Mus musculus: one gene and its partners. The protein of the gene in region 1 purifies or fractionates together with the protein of each later gene. This does not show direct contact. Links are inferred from orthologs where the notes say so. Each region holds a gene or a part of one and is shown on either strand. Other genes may lie near its edges.

Region 1 (5,232 bases):
TCCTGGGGATATGACACCCTTTTCTGGACTCTGCAGGCATCAGACACACATGAGGTGCACATATTTATAAAGAAACACACACAAACAAATTAAAAACTCCTTAAAATCTTTTCTAAATACTATTTTTCAAGACTGTAAAACAAGCCCCAGATCTCCACCGCAATACTGCTTTGCTGTCCCCTCTGTCTCACTGTGGGCACTAACAATGAATGCTAGGGCTTCACTGGATTCCTCTGCAAAGGGAGTAAACAAACCCAGCAGATACCTTTGGTAGATCCATAAAGCTTGGCCGGGCAGTCGAGATAAGTCCGAGAGTTTTTAAAGAGCAATTCACAAGCTGCGACAGTATGTCACAAGCAGCTTCAGCTGATTCTTTGCTGCTGTCCACCTTAAAAGAAAACACGACTCATTCACGTATATACCCACATTTCTCTTTGAGTATCTTAACTTTATAAAAGCAAGAGACGTAGTTACTAATTTAATGCATTATCACTTAAAGGACAATGATTTTCAATCATCTCTCATAACAGTCTAATCTTCAAGATTGTGTTCATAATAATAATAATAATATATATATGTGTTTGGTGCTGAAAGACTAATTTGACTTATTTCAAAGTAACTGTATGAAATCAATTGTCTTTAAATCGTATTTTGTACTTGGTTAAATCAAGCAATACATGCACACACAGTGTCTCATGACGAACTGTTTCAGGGTACCAGAAGAAACTAGTGTCTATTTGTTCAGAATTTTCAGATGAGCTACACAACCTGAAATTCTCTAATGTCTTTAATAGAAAGAAATACAGAGTGAAGCAAGGGTGTCCAACTACACAAGCACAGAGTAAGTCTGAACTAAAGCAGAGAGAGGCAGCGGATCTTCTCCACATTTCTCTAGACTAAAATGTTAACCTCTAATACCATTACTCTTATTTCTAAAGTTGTGCTTTACAGCAGAGCTCTCGAAGGAGCTCTTAAGTGCTGTTGTGTATGAAACTGTCGTACCAACTGTCGTTCTCAAAATGAAGTTCCTAGACCGCACGAAAACCATCCAAGTACTGAAGCCATTGGAATTCTTATGCTTAGCCCACATGGCTAAGAAACTTTGTGAGTGGGACTGAGCACGGTTTGCCTTTAGACTCCCCTTGGTGAGTCTACTGAACAGCGTGAAAAGCACCGTTTTAGACTAATTAATCTGATTCTAAGTTTTTCCAGCCTATAGTGACCACTTAAATATTAAGGATAATCCCTGCGACATGTCTGCTTTCTAAACTAGAAATTACTTCCTCACACAAATAAATCTGTAACAAGAAATGTTAAACTTAAGCACAACTGGTTTTATGAGCTCCATCTGTTGGATACACCTGACTTGTGTCATAGACTTATAAAGGAACACCCAGGACCGAGATGACCTGCATTCATATGCAGGAATGCTCTTTACAATCTCCTTTCTATAGCATTTGCCATTACAGTTTTCTAAGGCAACTCAAAGATGACCGAAAGCAAAGGGAAAGCAATTCAGGTTTCCTCCCTGGAGGAGGGGAAGCAGTCCCTCCACACTTGTCTGCTTGAATCCTACCCCTTATCAAACAATAATGCACCCTACTGGAGTTTCAGGTAAACAATAACTTGTATCAGTAAGTCTGTCTGGGACACATCTACACTGATCGGCATCAGTGAAGTCAAAATTAACTAGGCATCTTTGTTTGCCTCTTGAAACAGCGTCCTTCCTGTTAAATACTCACTCTGTAGCCCAGGCTGCTCTTAACAGGCAGTGTCCTGATAACTCTTTTCTCTTTGGCTATGATTAGCAATCCTATGCCTGATAACCCAGTACCTTTATGACCACAATCCACTCAGCCATATCTATTACCAAGCTCTCCTATCTTAGAGGAAGACAGCATAGGGAGGGCACGAAGCTTTAGGTGAGGAGCACTGCTTAGACAGGTTTTATGCTGGCCCCTTCAGCAAACAGGAAATAGAGGCAAACGAGGCAATTCCTGTCCTTTTACAACAGCTTTTTGGTTTTTATGCTCAACATTTTTAAGAGAAGGCCTTAAATTGTTGATTCTCTCTCACCTCAGACTCCCAAGTCATAGAGCTACATGAGTGACTCACCAGGCCTAGCCCAGTTTAATCATTTAACAATAACTATCATTTAGAAATCATATTAGAAAAAAATTAACGTTAAGGATTCAGCAAGCATCCCATTTTTCTTTCTTCATCTCCAAAATACAATGTGCTGAACCTTTGTTCTCACATAGGTACTGTGATTAACACTATTCAAACCTCAAGAGGCTACCTTCCTTCACCCACCTCATCACTCTGTGAGTCTTACGTGTCCCTTGTAACACTGAAATGAAGCAAACAGCTCTCTTGCATTTTTCCATGAATCCTCTTTTGTTTCCTTCTAAAATACACTCGAACTATTTAGTCTCTACATCATCTTTAGTGTTTTTGTTGGTTTTTTAAAAATGCATCAAAGCCAGCAACACTCACTGGTCGTGGTGGCAGCTCACTCCCTTAATCCCAGCACTTGGGAGGCAGAGGCAGGAAATTAAGTTTGAGGCCAGCCTGGTCTACAGAGTGGAGTTCCAGGGCAGCCAAAACTATGCAGAAAAACCCTATCTCAAACCACCACCACCAAAACAAACAAATAAAACAACACCCCCAAACAAAACCAAACCGTCCTAATGCAGTAGTTCTCAACCTTCCTAAGGTATAATTCCTCATGTTGTGGTGACCCCCAACCATAAAATTATTCCATTGTTACTTCATAAAGTAATTGACACCATCACCACCACCCCTCCAAGGAGTCCCGCGCAGCAGGTGGAAACTCACTGCCCTAACGTTTGTGATATATTTCTCTTCCCTCAAATTTGCTGCCAACCATTCACCATTAATTTAAAACTTCAGTCACTTATTTAGACTCACTTAGTGGCTGCTTTTGCTCTTTTAAGAAATTAAAGGACTATTTTAGCTTTAGCAAATATAAAAAAATATTTGTAAAGAACTCTTAAAGGCATGCAATAATTTTAAAACTTTAAGCACTTTCCCTGAAAAGTTCACTATTCTAAGGACATCAGAAGCTCAACTGGCTGTGACAGTAACGGCAGTGAGGCGCTTTACTCGTTAACAGAAGGATGGAAGGGGTTACCTTGAAGCTGACATACTGTAGGTGGTTTGAGTGCCTTTTGATAATCTGTTTGATCAGCTCTGGGTGTGTGGCTTTCAAGTAAGATGTCGCTGGCTGATTCAGTTCAAATTCAAAACATCGCCACAAGTCAGGCATGTGAAATACCTGATTCCAATTCCGGCACACTTGGGAAGCATGAGCCCGGTCAAGAAGAGGCAAATACTTAAAAACATGGAGGACGATGTCCTGCAGGAGGTTACCCCAGTCACAAGGCTGCGAGCGCTCCTGTGTCGTCCTCGGTCTCTTGGGCTTCTCGGCAGTGCCTTCCTCAGCAGAGTCCTGGTCACTATCTCTTCCTCCTCGTTTCATCCTATTCAAGACAATCCATCATTTCCCATCCTACTTAACTTTTGATCAAATTCATCTTCTGTTACTGAAATGTGTTTGGATTTGGACAGAAATACGCATGAAAACCTGGCCCAACAATTCAAGGAGAATATAAAAATGCAATGAAACCTGCCGGTGGAGATGAAACTCCTGAAGTGATTTTAAACAGCTACATTTAAAACTACTTATAACTTAGGTAAACCATGAATTTATAACTCAAAACTTGTAGTCAACTCTAAAGGAGAACTACAGTGATAAAATCCAATTTTCTGTCAAATTTAAGGTACACCAAGGTCCGCATGAACCTCTAAACTCTTAAGTGGTCAACAGAGCTGCACTGAACAGCCTGTGAACAGCCTGCTACACATACCCCACCTCTGCTTGGTGGACGTAAATCTGGACTGAGAGTACAGCCCAATGGTAAAGCCCCTGCCTTAAGTACTCCCGCCCAAGCTCGACCTGCAGCTGCATGAAGTAGATGAGTAGTTACAGCAGTCTGCCTGACTAAGCTAAGCTTTGTCTCAGCTAGGATATGGTTTCTTCTCCCAACACATAACTGTCACTGTTTTTCCTGTCCATTTTCTGTATGTTTCCGCCATGGTTTTTCTATGTATTCTTACCCCCTTCATGCCATGAGATGTTCACGACAAACGGTACCATCAGCTCGAAGACCAAGCTCTCTCGAGGTTTGAATACTAGCTACACTTCAAAATAGCTCCATGGCTTTGGGAAATTACAAGACTGTCAGTACAAGACTGTCAGATGCTTCAGTTTGCAAAATGGTGATCTTTTGATACAGGGTTCTTGACATCTCAGCCCAGTATGGAAGCCATCACAAAGAAGTGACTGTCCCCAGAATGGGAAGAGCAATTTAATTTTTCTTTCAAAAAAGGGGAGGGAGCAGTGGTGTAGAGAAATGCCCTGGCAAGAGCATCACTAGCTTAGGGTAACAGCTGAAAATGCGCAGTGGGGCGGCACAAGCTCCAGCTATGTTCCCCAATATGCTCTTTTTCTTTCTACATTGTATACAGCTATTTCATGTAATCAGAGTTCCAAAGGACACATCTTCATTTGTTACTTTATTTACACTGCACTCTAGTCTAACCTGGACCATTCCTTGGTACTAGTATTTAGTCTAGGATCTACCATGATTTTTAGAGAGCAATTCTAGTAAGGCGCTGGTCCAAACAAGACTCAAAAGGATGGCTTGACTCCAACCAACTTGTGACAAATCATGTCGCAAGAATCGGGTTCCTCCGTGGTATGAAGGATATGCGTCTGTACAGACTTTCTCATCCAGAGGCTGGCAGAGAAGGGCTGAGGGCTGGAGAAAACAAACAGGATGGCAGAGAGCACAACCCTACATCGTCAGTCCAGGAGGCCTTGAAAAAGGAACTGTCTCCTTTGTTGTTCCTGCATCTGACTGTATGCACACACACAAAAGGGCATAGTCTCCAGGAAAAGCAGAATTCAGAAAACAAAATAACAGATGACAAGATGGCTTTATGGAACATTCAAACTTATGAATCTATGAATAGATTTTTATGTGTGTTCAAAGTTAGAATGATCAACACTGACATTAAATTAAAATAAAAAGTCCTTCTATGGGTAAGCGTGTCATTATGACCCATTTTCCAACTTTAACTTATCCTGAAGGCTTAACTTTAATTTTAGCATTTCAATTTGGGTCAAAGAACGAAGAGTCTGCTACT
Region 2 (5,232 bases), on another chromosome or scaffold:
ATCAATTAATTTTCTTACTCTTAAAAGTAGCCGACAATGTAGCCCAGGGTGACCTGTAGTCCAGGTCTTCTCATGTCTATCAAGTAGCATCATCAGACTGCAGGCCTTCACTACCACAAGAGGCCAGACTGCTGAACAGTAATAGCGCTCTTAGTAGACGGAAGGTTTAACTGTAGAAGTGACTCTTGGGTAAGCAATTTAATGAGCCCATCTGAGTTTCACACCTTGCTCTTGAAAACTGGGTCTCTACTGTGGGCATCACATGCTTATCCACTGGAAAGCCTGCAGAACGGACAAGCGCAGCCCTGCACCCCACAAGCCAAGCTCTTCCCCACCTCACTCTGCAGCCCAAGATGTGAAGCTTCCCCTACCCAGCTTCCCAGGCTGCTGCTGCTCGGATTTCAGATGTGCACGAGCACACCTCAGTGTAGCCACAGACTCCTGCAAATGCTACGTCAGTCCGAATATTTACCTTCATCCCTTCTTCCCAGCTGATCCACAGGTCACCACGAGTCAGGAAACAGGCAACCGCGTGTCTGGCTAAATGGTGGATCCAGCCCTCCTGACGAAGCTGAGTCATGATGGCGTCAATCCACGGGAAGCCTGTCCGGCCTTCTGCCCATTTGGCCAGAGCCTCGGGGTTCTTGTCCCAAGGGATCTGAACACAGATGGGGTTCCCTTCCATTTTGTCAAAGCGTGGGTTGTTTGTGGCTGCTGTATAAAAAAATTCACGCCACAGGAGTTGCCCATAAAGAGAAAGGGGAGGGGAACTATTCTTCTTTACCTGCGATTAAAAAACAAAAAGTATTACCAGAAAAAAATTTTAAAGTATTTCAAAAAACATACTCTGACTTCAGATAATACCTTTTTGTAGAGATCTGTTAGTTTGAAATAAAACAGCCGACATGATAAACAACCAAAGCGGAGATAAGGACTGAGTCCAGTTGGGCTTGCAAGCAGGGAGTTTGCATTCATTCGAGGTCGTTCAAAGTTTGCCACCCAGGCCTGGAAACACAGAGACAATTAAATTAACTTCTCTAATCACACTAACATGAGCTCAACTCTCCAGCACCGCATGGAAGGAGTTGAGCTCACATACTCACACTCACACACACACACACACACACACACACACACACCTCAAAACTGAGGATTTTGAGGAATTTGTTATTATCCCACTATAGATCTCTGATTTAGTAACTGGAGAAAGGGACTTTAAAAGGTGACTTGTCTTTCCCTGAAGCCATCCATGTACAGCATGCACTCATGTGAAATAAACGGCCATCAGGTCCCCAGCCTCAGGAGTGAAGCACCTTCACCCTGTCTCTTTGAACACTGGGTCAAAGGAATACAATGGTGTGCCTTGCCTTTCCTAAGGTTTCAGATGCTCATGGTCGAGTAATGATAGTTGGAAAACATTAAAGGAAAATTCTACAAATAACTTGTAGGTTTTAAATAATTTATTATAGTAGATCACAATTATACTATCTTACCATTAGTGAGTATATGAATCTCCTGATGCATCTAAGTTACAAACTAAGCTTTATTAAGAGACGGGAGAGGGCAAGGATGAGGGTCATCTGCAATGGGAGAAGTATCTGAGGGAGTGGCGGAACAGGATCAATACATGGGAGTCTTGCTAATTTCTACAATCAATACGTATTACCAGTGATACCAACAAAACAGACAAGTGAAACTGTCTCATGGGACCCACTGGAGTCTCAGACAGAGCAGCATGGCTGCAGGCAGAATCCTGCTCCAGCCCGTTAGCCAGCTGATACGGGTGGGAAGAACAGAAGCAGCAGCCTGGCTCCAGCAACAGGAAGAAGCAGGCAGGAGGAAAGGGCAGTACCTGATGGCTGATGGTGACTTCCAAACGTTAGATTTGTGCTGCTGTAACTATTTCTGTCGGTCTTCCTTTGTCAACAGCATATTCTGTCTAAAGCTTACGGCTAAGCCTCCCTGGATGTGCCTGGTCTCATCTAAACAAGGCTGAGATAATTTCTGAAAGGTTTATTTGGAATCTACATTGTACCTTTCTTTCCAAATGCCTTTCCAAACGTGTAAGTGCCTCAGTTTCTCCTCCTGGCCACACTGCAGAGGACAGGCCATCTGTATCAAAGCCTAAGGAAAAAGAACCAAATAAATGAAGAAAGGAAAACATCATTAATATTGTAATTATTATAAAACAAAAAAATCACTGTTTTCCTGACCACACTTACTTGGGAAACAAATCACTCAGCAAAAATAAAATAAACAAATAAATACAACTCTACAGGCCTACACTGGCTTACAGAGGACTACACAGGACTACACTGGCCTAGGCCCCACCCAATGACAGACTCCTGCCCCAAGGACCACACATGGTTCCCATTTTTAGGATGCACATTGTCACCTGACAGCCAGTCACAGTTTAAGAATGCACATGAGATATTTTTGGTTAATAGGTTTCTCTTTTATTTTCCCCTTTACTCTTCTCTTCTTCCAGTAAAAATACATTAGAAGTGAAATGTCCAAATGATTTATGACTATGAAGTATTTTAAAATATATTTTTAAATTACTTGGGAATTTCACACATCGTATTCTGATCACACTGCCCTTACCTGTCCCCCTAAAGCTTCCTAGATCCCCCAGATCTCCCTACCCATCCTGACTGTGTTCTTTCTGACTTTTCTTAGTCAGCCATCAGGTCCACTTTGTGCTGCCATGCACTCTGGGTGCTTATCAGCGGCTGCACCCACCGAGCTCTTCCAGGGAAGGAACGCCATATTTCTCATCATGGTCATCAGACAGAGGGGTCATGCACTTTCCTATCACATCTGATGTGATGGTGTCTGCTGGCATCTCCAGTGGCTCCATCTTGCTGACGAGAGTCTGAAACCTTTTATATGTTAGAGGTGGCTGTCCGCCATTGAGTTCTATGATCCTGTTACAAGAATGAGTAAGATACAGTTAGTAAATGCTAATATAGCTTGGCTGATAAGCTCAAAAATGCTTATATCAGAAAATTTATCAATTAAGATATTTTGAATGTTAGCTTCTGATAAGACCAGAAAATGTGTTCAAAAATATTTAATGAATGTAAAACCATTCTCTTGAATTCCTAGATGTCTACTAGGTGTCAAATAATACAGTATGCAAACATCAAATCATTGATGGCAAGTATTTAGGATTGTGACTAAAAACTAACAAAGTAGTTCAACTAGCCTATAGATCATGTATAGAAAAATTAATATAAATGGACAAGTGAAAAAAATGAACCAATTTAATAAATCTCAAGAGGCACCAATAAAACTAAAGTAGATTGATAATTCTAACGAGAAATAATCAGCAGAAGTAAAACATGCTATCAGTAGTGGGGCGCACCTTCAATCCCAGCACTCGGAGGCAAAGGCAGGTGGGTCTCTATAAATGCCAGGTCAGCTTGGTCTACAGGGTGAGTTCTAGGACAGCCAGGGCTACACAGAGAAACCCTATCTCCTCTTGCCCTTTCTGCTGTGTCCCAATTTCCTCTATGGACGTGAAGCCTCCACAGCTGTTTTCTGTTGTGTGGGTCCTTGTTACAGACCTCAGCACATGTATCTGTTCCCAGCACCTGCCCCTAGCTGAGCTTTTGTTTTCCGTGGTTTCAGTTACTTGTGTTCAATTGTGCTACAAAAATAGTATGTCTAGACTCACATAACTTATTACAGCATACTGTTCTAAACGTTCAATACCATTGTTAACCTCCTATAACTTATAATTTACAGCCAAGCTTTGCCATGCTGTGCTCTTTAGATAGACAGCACAGTGAACATGGGTTCAACGTGACTAGTGGTTCTTAACAGCCACCAGGGCTTTGGAATGCCCTCATGGATAAGGAGAGAAATATTATGCATACATGCACCCCAAATTCCAAGTCATTTATATTTAAGTATAGTCATTAATATTAAGTGCATTATGTAGTTATTGCTGACCACTGGGTACCTCAATCCTACAATAGTTCTAGGGAAAGATGCCAGCAGCACTTCCAAGGGTTTGCATTAAGTCTAGACATGGTTTCAGAGTAAAAGCTATCCTCCCTGCTGTAAGTACAGTTTGTTTTGGTTTAATATTTTGATATTACATATAGGGCTATAATGAAGTTTGTTGAATTCAATAATGCTACAATGACACTATTAAGTGTCTCTTAATTATCTACCAGCAAACTGAAACTCATAGAAAAGATTTTTACACACGTGTGCGCACAGACGCACAGACACAGACACACAGACACACACACACAGACGTACAGGCACAGACACACACACACACAGACGTACAGGCACAGACACACACACACACACCGAGTCTTTGGTATGTATTCACAATCAACTCAACAAAACCTAATTTTACAATATGGCTGAGTCTCCCATTTAGAAGCAACTTCTCTTACCCTATTCTGTCTGCTCCATATTCACCCATTGACGTTAAGAAAACTGGGACCTGATGGAAGTGTTGGTACCAAAAGGACTAGCACATGTAAGACATCACCAAGGGAAGACGCGTGTCTGGATCAAGTAATGGTTTTATTCATTTACTTGCTAACACAAGTAAAGTCAGTTTGTTGTGTTGTTTATAGAATTAGCTTTGTTAACTTGGTATAATGTGTAAATAACTTAAAAGGTAAAATTACTTAATAGATACACAAATTGTGAATTCTCATGTTTATAAAGACAATTTCATGCCAGAAGTTACTGTGAACTTAGACAGCTCCTGAATCTCCCAAGCATGTGCTCCTGTCTAATGCAAGCCGCAGGCTCTGCCTGTCACAGCGCCCCTGGTACTGCCACACACCCCATCAACAGACACACGGCAGATGGGATGTGAGGCCATGGTTCAGAGGACTCTAACTGGGTAGGTTATGACTTCAGTTTTCATCTCAACTAAATGAAGGGATAAGCTAGTGTACATATAATAAAATCACACAGAATATATCAAAGTAAGATATGGAAATGTGTCAAATAAGCTCTTAATTGAATTATGCTGACAGCCCTGAAAGGCAACAGTGGGCCAAGGTAGCAGTAAAAACAAAACAAAACAACAAAAAAAGAGTGTTAAATAGCATTTCTTAGTTTAAAACTGAAGCACTAAAAATTTTCTTATTCACCGTGGTATTACAACTGAGTGAATAAAAATCACAGCAGCTAAATAAAATGCTAAGGGCTTGATATAAACCCATTTAATTCTTAAAATTCTGATTCAAATATTTC
Region 3 (4,895 bases), on another chromosome or scaffold:
CACTTTGCAGGTAAAATCTTTTTATTTGGGTAAAATATTTGAGTACTAATTGATGATAAGACAACTTATAGAAACCCAATTAGATAGCTCATGCAGTGGGATGCAGTTCATTCTCTGACAAAGCCATGTAGGGAGTAAAGCATGCTTGTCATGGGCAGGTGAGCTGAACTCATTTTCTCTGACTATAGATGCAAGTCACTTCCTTACTCTGAGCCTCAGGTTTCTCCTCCACTGAGTTAGCAGTGTTTGCTTACACCATAGAAGTGATCTTTGATAGGTTTGGTAGGTTTGCATGACATGCTGGGGTGACAAATTTAAAAGATGACATTTCACTCTCTAGTTCCAGTCAGAGCTCTCTGCAGCCTCACAGTGATAAGACTCCCTAGCACGTCTAGCAGTGTGCAGTGCCTAGTAATAACAGCTATGGGCTGATTGCATTTCTACAAAAGCTGGGGTCCAGTTAACTGTGGTTCAAAGTCTAGGTTCCTTCTACTCTCACTTCTGTACTCAGTGTGTTTCACAAGTAAAACTTACTTCATTCCTTGAAAAGGTCTCAGTAGTGAGCTGGTAATGGTAATTAAACTGTAGAGTATGTGACGAAAACTACTCACTAGTTTAACCTTTGTACTTCCACATTGATAAGTTAATTAAGTAACCATTATACCTGGTGTGGAGGTCTCTGGCAACTTAAACATACACATAATGTATAAATGGTATGCATCCCCAAAATAATTTTTGTTCTACTATGCATAAAAATTAAACTTATAATTAATGTCTCTATACCTGGTGTATGTTTATATTATAGGTATGCTCATATATTTATGCTTATATAGGGTACATTTCAGGAGAAAAATGAGTCTTTTCAGTGTTTGAAAGGTATCTTTAAGAAAAATGTCCATTCCCCTGGTTGTGACATTTTGTATTCCCTCTCCTTTTTTGCCTCTGAAGAATGCTTTTCATGAAAGCAGGTTGTACCTTTCCCATGTTTTCACATTTCCTCTTTCTTTCCTCTGGACCACGAAGGCGTCCACATTTCAGATGGCAATCCTGCTTCAGTATAACACAGAAGACGCCTATACTGTGCAGCAGTTGACTGACAGCACTCAGATTAAAATGGTATTTCCACTGTTTGGTACTCACGCTATACTCTCAAGCTGCCTCTTCTTTGTTCATTGGGATGTTGTGGAAAGGGGGAGAGGACATGGGTTTCTTTGGCTTACTAGATGTTAGCAGCATGGAGAAAAAAGTAAAAGCAGTAAACTCTGACCAAGGCACCAGAAGACCAGGCCAGATAGATCCACAGAGAGCATTTCACTGGGGTGTCTGACACCTTGGATGCCAACAGGACCACTGAGTTCTCATGGTTGAGTCAGAGAAGTTTATATAATGGGCAAGGTTCACTTGAGCCAAAAGTTAACCTGACTAGTCTCAAACTTGTGTGAGGAGCATCCAGCACATTCCTGGTACTGGTGGTACTAAGGTCTAGGGTGTAAAGCTCCATGTGCCACTATCACGACTTTATAACTTTATAGTATTTAAGCAAATTGTTTTGGAGAAAACATGGGTTCTCAGGCAGGCATGGTGGCCAGCACCTGTGATGGTGGTGGCCAGTTCCAGCTGTGTCCTTATAAACCTTTATGCCAGTTTCATAAGGGTGTTAAGAAATGCTCTCTTTTGTCAGCATTATAAGGACAGTGTGAGATGCTCTATTTTTTTTAAGGGTTTCTCTGTGTAGCCCTGGCTATCCAGGAACTCTCTTTGTAATCCATGCTGGCTATGAACTCAGAGAGATCTGCCTGACTCTACCTCCCATGTGCTAGGCTTAATGGTGTGTGCTACCACCACTGTCCCTTGAAATGCTGTTTTAAACCCAGTCAGTCACTGTCTGTCTCTGTCTCTATCTCTGTGTGTGTGTGTGTGTGTGTGTGTGTGTGTGTGTGTGTGTGTGTGTGTGTAGATATATGTACTTGTTTGTATTCACGTGTTGGAGACTAGAAGTAGATGTCACTGTGGTGCACATGTCATTCTTTCTTTGAAGCAGCGTCTGTCAGTGAATCTGGAGCTTATCCATTCAGCTAGGCTGCACAGCAGTAAGACTTGGGGATTCACTCATTTATTCCCCATAGCACTCCAGACAAGGCTGAGCTTTCACGTGAGTGCTGGGAAGCAGATAAAAGATTTTTTAACTTTCCTCATTCACTTTATTTTTTGTTTGGTTGGGATTTTCTGTTGCTGTTGTTGAAATAGTCACCTGTACTCTAGGATGACCTCAGATTCACTGAGTAGGTAGAGAATGCCTTAAACTAACTTACTGTCCTGTCTTTGTACATACATCTGTGTATCTGTGATAGATTACTGGCATGCTCCACACCCGTTTTTATGCAGTGCAGGAGATTGAATCCAGGGCCTTGGGCATGCTAGCCAAGTACTCCACCAGTTAAGAAGTGGTCCCTGCCCCCATTTAATTTTTTAGTTGACATGTGTACTTACTGATGGGTACACTGCTGTACATGCATTTTTTTTTTTTAAATTTCAATGAAACCTACTTTTTTTTTTTTTTTTTTGCTGGCTGGTTGGAAGGGTTGACAGGTCTGCCTCTCTAGTCTCTGCTTGGCCTTCTCCTCGATGCCACACCAATCTTTCTACTTCTTTGTATTACTAGAATTACCTTATGGGTCTTTAGCTGCCCTCCTCCAGACCCCAGTGCATAGCTGTCACTTCTCTGACAGCATGGGAGCCTTGGTTAAGAGTGCAGGTGAGAAAGTTAAGTCCCCATGCCATGAGGCTTGATGGTTCTGGAAATCACCAGAGCAGCTAATAACTACAGAGGTCATATGATGCACTGAATTGCCAACTAAAGCCAAGTTGGCAGCAAGTCAGCTGCCTCCAAGTCTCAGCATGTTCATGAATGCAGTGCAACTTTGGTTCTGCTGAAGCTCCTTACTGCTTCGTTCGCATGTTCAGGGGTGTAGTTTACTGGTAGAACACTTGCCTGGCACACAAAGCCTTGGGTTTGATCCACAGCACCACATAAATGTCTTATGAACCTTCAGACATCGAAGAAGTGAATCATTTCCTGTAGGTTTCATTGAAGAAGCAGGCCATATATTGTGTCCAGTGTTTGTGGGAAACTGCATTATTATTGCCTTTGAATAGTGGGTGCTTCAGGCCATAAAGAACAAGCCATGTCACTTTCTCTGACTAGTTCTGCTTTGAGGTGATGACCATTTCTGTGAGGCTGGGCCTCTGGGACAGGCACTGTAAAGAAGTATTCTTCCTCCTTGCTTACCATCTTTCTCTGATTGCAGGACATTTTGGCACAAGTCCTACAGATTTTACTGAAGTCGAAATTGCTGGTATGTTTGTATACTTTGTGTTGAGCTAGAAGACACCCTTTCCCTAGGATGTGCCTAGTAACAGTTATTTTCTTCTAGGTCTTAGAAGATGAAAATGCCAATGTTGATGAGGTGGAATTGAAGCCAGACACCTTAATAAAGTTATATCTTGGTTATAAAAAGTAAGAAAAATCTAACATGTAGCTGCTGGTCTTATCCCCTGGCACTGGCCTACTTCAGGATCGGCACGAGCCAGGGGAACTGGACTCTGCTTTTAATGCTGAGTTTGATTTTCTTTATCTTGAAAATAAGTCTTGAGTGGCTCATATGGCATGTTTAGACCTTTATATCAAGTTATTTTGGTGTTATTACAATTCACTAAATTGAGGGGTCAAGTGTCACTTCAGTCATCCCTCTGTGGTAAAATTACATAGCATTGGTGGAGGGGCAGTTCGCAGGTAGCAGTAGAAATGATGAGAAATGATATAGAAGAGATGGGTGTGAACCACCTGCCCAGTCCAGGGATGCAAAACGTGTAGTTGAAAGACAGGAAGCAGACTTTTCAATGACCTGTTTCCTCTGTTATCTTGACAGTAAGAAATTGAGGGTTAATATCAATGTACCAATGAAAACTGAACAGAAGCAGGAACAAGAAACTACACACAAAAATATAGAGGAAGACCGCAAACTACTGATTCAGGTGACTGAACCATGTCTGCACTGTACACTTAGGGAAACGTGCTGGCCTTGTATGTGCTCAAACGCTGCCAGAATGACAGTTCGGTGATGGCCAAAGATGACAATGCCTGAAGCCAGCACTTGGTGTCTGAGGGATGAAGTATTTTATGTTCCAAACAAAAGTAGTCTAATCTTCTTGCCTAAGTATTGGGAAGCAGGTAATATGTGGCAGATTAAAGAAACAGGAGATTGGGGGGAAGGGGACCTTCTATTCCTTTAGAGATCCATTTTTTCTTTATTCTTTAGTGCTTTATAGTTGGCCAAAATTAGCCCCTCCAAAATATTTAAGATTTACATTTAGTGTATATGCATGTTTTGTCTATATGTAGTCACATATAGATAGGGTTCATGTATGCTACTGGTGTCCCCAGAGGCCAGGAAAGGATGCTGCATCTCTTTGGTTGTGAGCTACTCCATAGGTCCTGGGAACTGAAACCAGGTCCTCTGGAAGACCTCAGTGCTCTTAAACCACTGCACCATCAATCTAGCCCCTTAGACAAAACATTTTAATGGATAAAGCTGATGGATAGAGCTGATTGCTTGTACCCTCCCTGACCTGTAGGATAGTTGTTACCCTAGCATGGAAGTTGAGTATGAGGTGGTACAGGCTGCCTTGAACTTTCATGCTCAGCTGTTAAACCTCTAAGCATGTGTTTTTCTTGTTGATTGCATAGGCGGCCATCGTGAGAATCATGAAAATGAGGAAGGTCCTGAAACACCAGCAGTTACTTGGTGAAGTCCTCACTCAGCTCTCCTCCAGGTTCAAACCTCGGGTCCCGGTGATCAAGGTACAGGAATTACAGAGCATGGTTAGGAAACTTG

What was found. The genes of interacting proteins can lie anywhere in the genome.
Region 2: the proteins of Fbxl3 (region 1) and Cry1 purify together in Homo sapiens (affinity purification with mass spectrometry; 4 studies listed by BioGRID and IntAct, counting the BioPlex papers as one, with this or other methods). This does not show direct contact. The link is inferred for Mus musculus from reciprocal best matches to the Homo sapiens genes FBXL3 and CRY1.
Region 3: the proteins of Fbxl3 (region 1) and Cul1 purify together in Homo sapiens (affinity purification with western blotting; 6 studies listed by BioGRID, with this or other methods). This does not show direct contact. The link is inferred for Mus musculus from reciprocal best matches to the Homo sapiens genes FBXL3 and CUL1.

Annotation. Positions count from the first base shown.
Region 1 is NC_000080.6:103,092,039-103,097,270, forward strand, and holds part of Fbxl3 (F-box/LRR-repeat protein 3), read right to left. Parts: intron 3,504-5,232; 5' UTR 3,503-3,503; coding exon 3,155-3,502; intron 389-3,154; coding exon 266-388; intron 1-265. UniProt on the Homo sapiens protein: Substrate-recognition component of the SCF(FBXL3) E3 ubiquitin ligase complex involved in circadian rhythm function. Plays a key role in the maintenance of both the speed and the robustness of the circadian clock oscillation.
Region 2 is NC_000076.6:85,145,872-85,151,103, forward strand, and holds part of Cry1 (cryptochrome-1), read right to left. Parts: intron 2,928-5,232; coding exon 2,743-2,927; intron 2,125-2,742; coding exon 2,036-2,124; intron 1,006-2,035; coding exon 865-1,005; intron 785-864; coding exon 473-784; intron 1-472.
Region 3 is NC_000072.6:47,519,770-47,524,664, forward strand, and holds part of Cul1 (cullin-1), read left to right. Parts: coding exon 1-10; intron 11-1,023; coding exon 1,024-1,116; intron 1,117-3,308; coding exon 3,309-3,356; intron 3,357-3,434; coding exon 3,435-3,517; intron 3,518-3,929; coding exon 3,930-4,035; intron 4,036-4,747; coding exon 4,748-4,861; intron 4,862-4,895. UniProt on the Homo sapiens protein: Core component of multiple cullin-RING-based SCF (SKP1-CUL1-F-box protein) E3 ubiquitin-protein ligase complexes, which mediate the ubiquitination of proteins involved in cell cycle progression, signal transduction and transcription.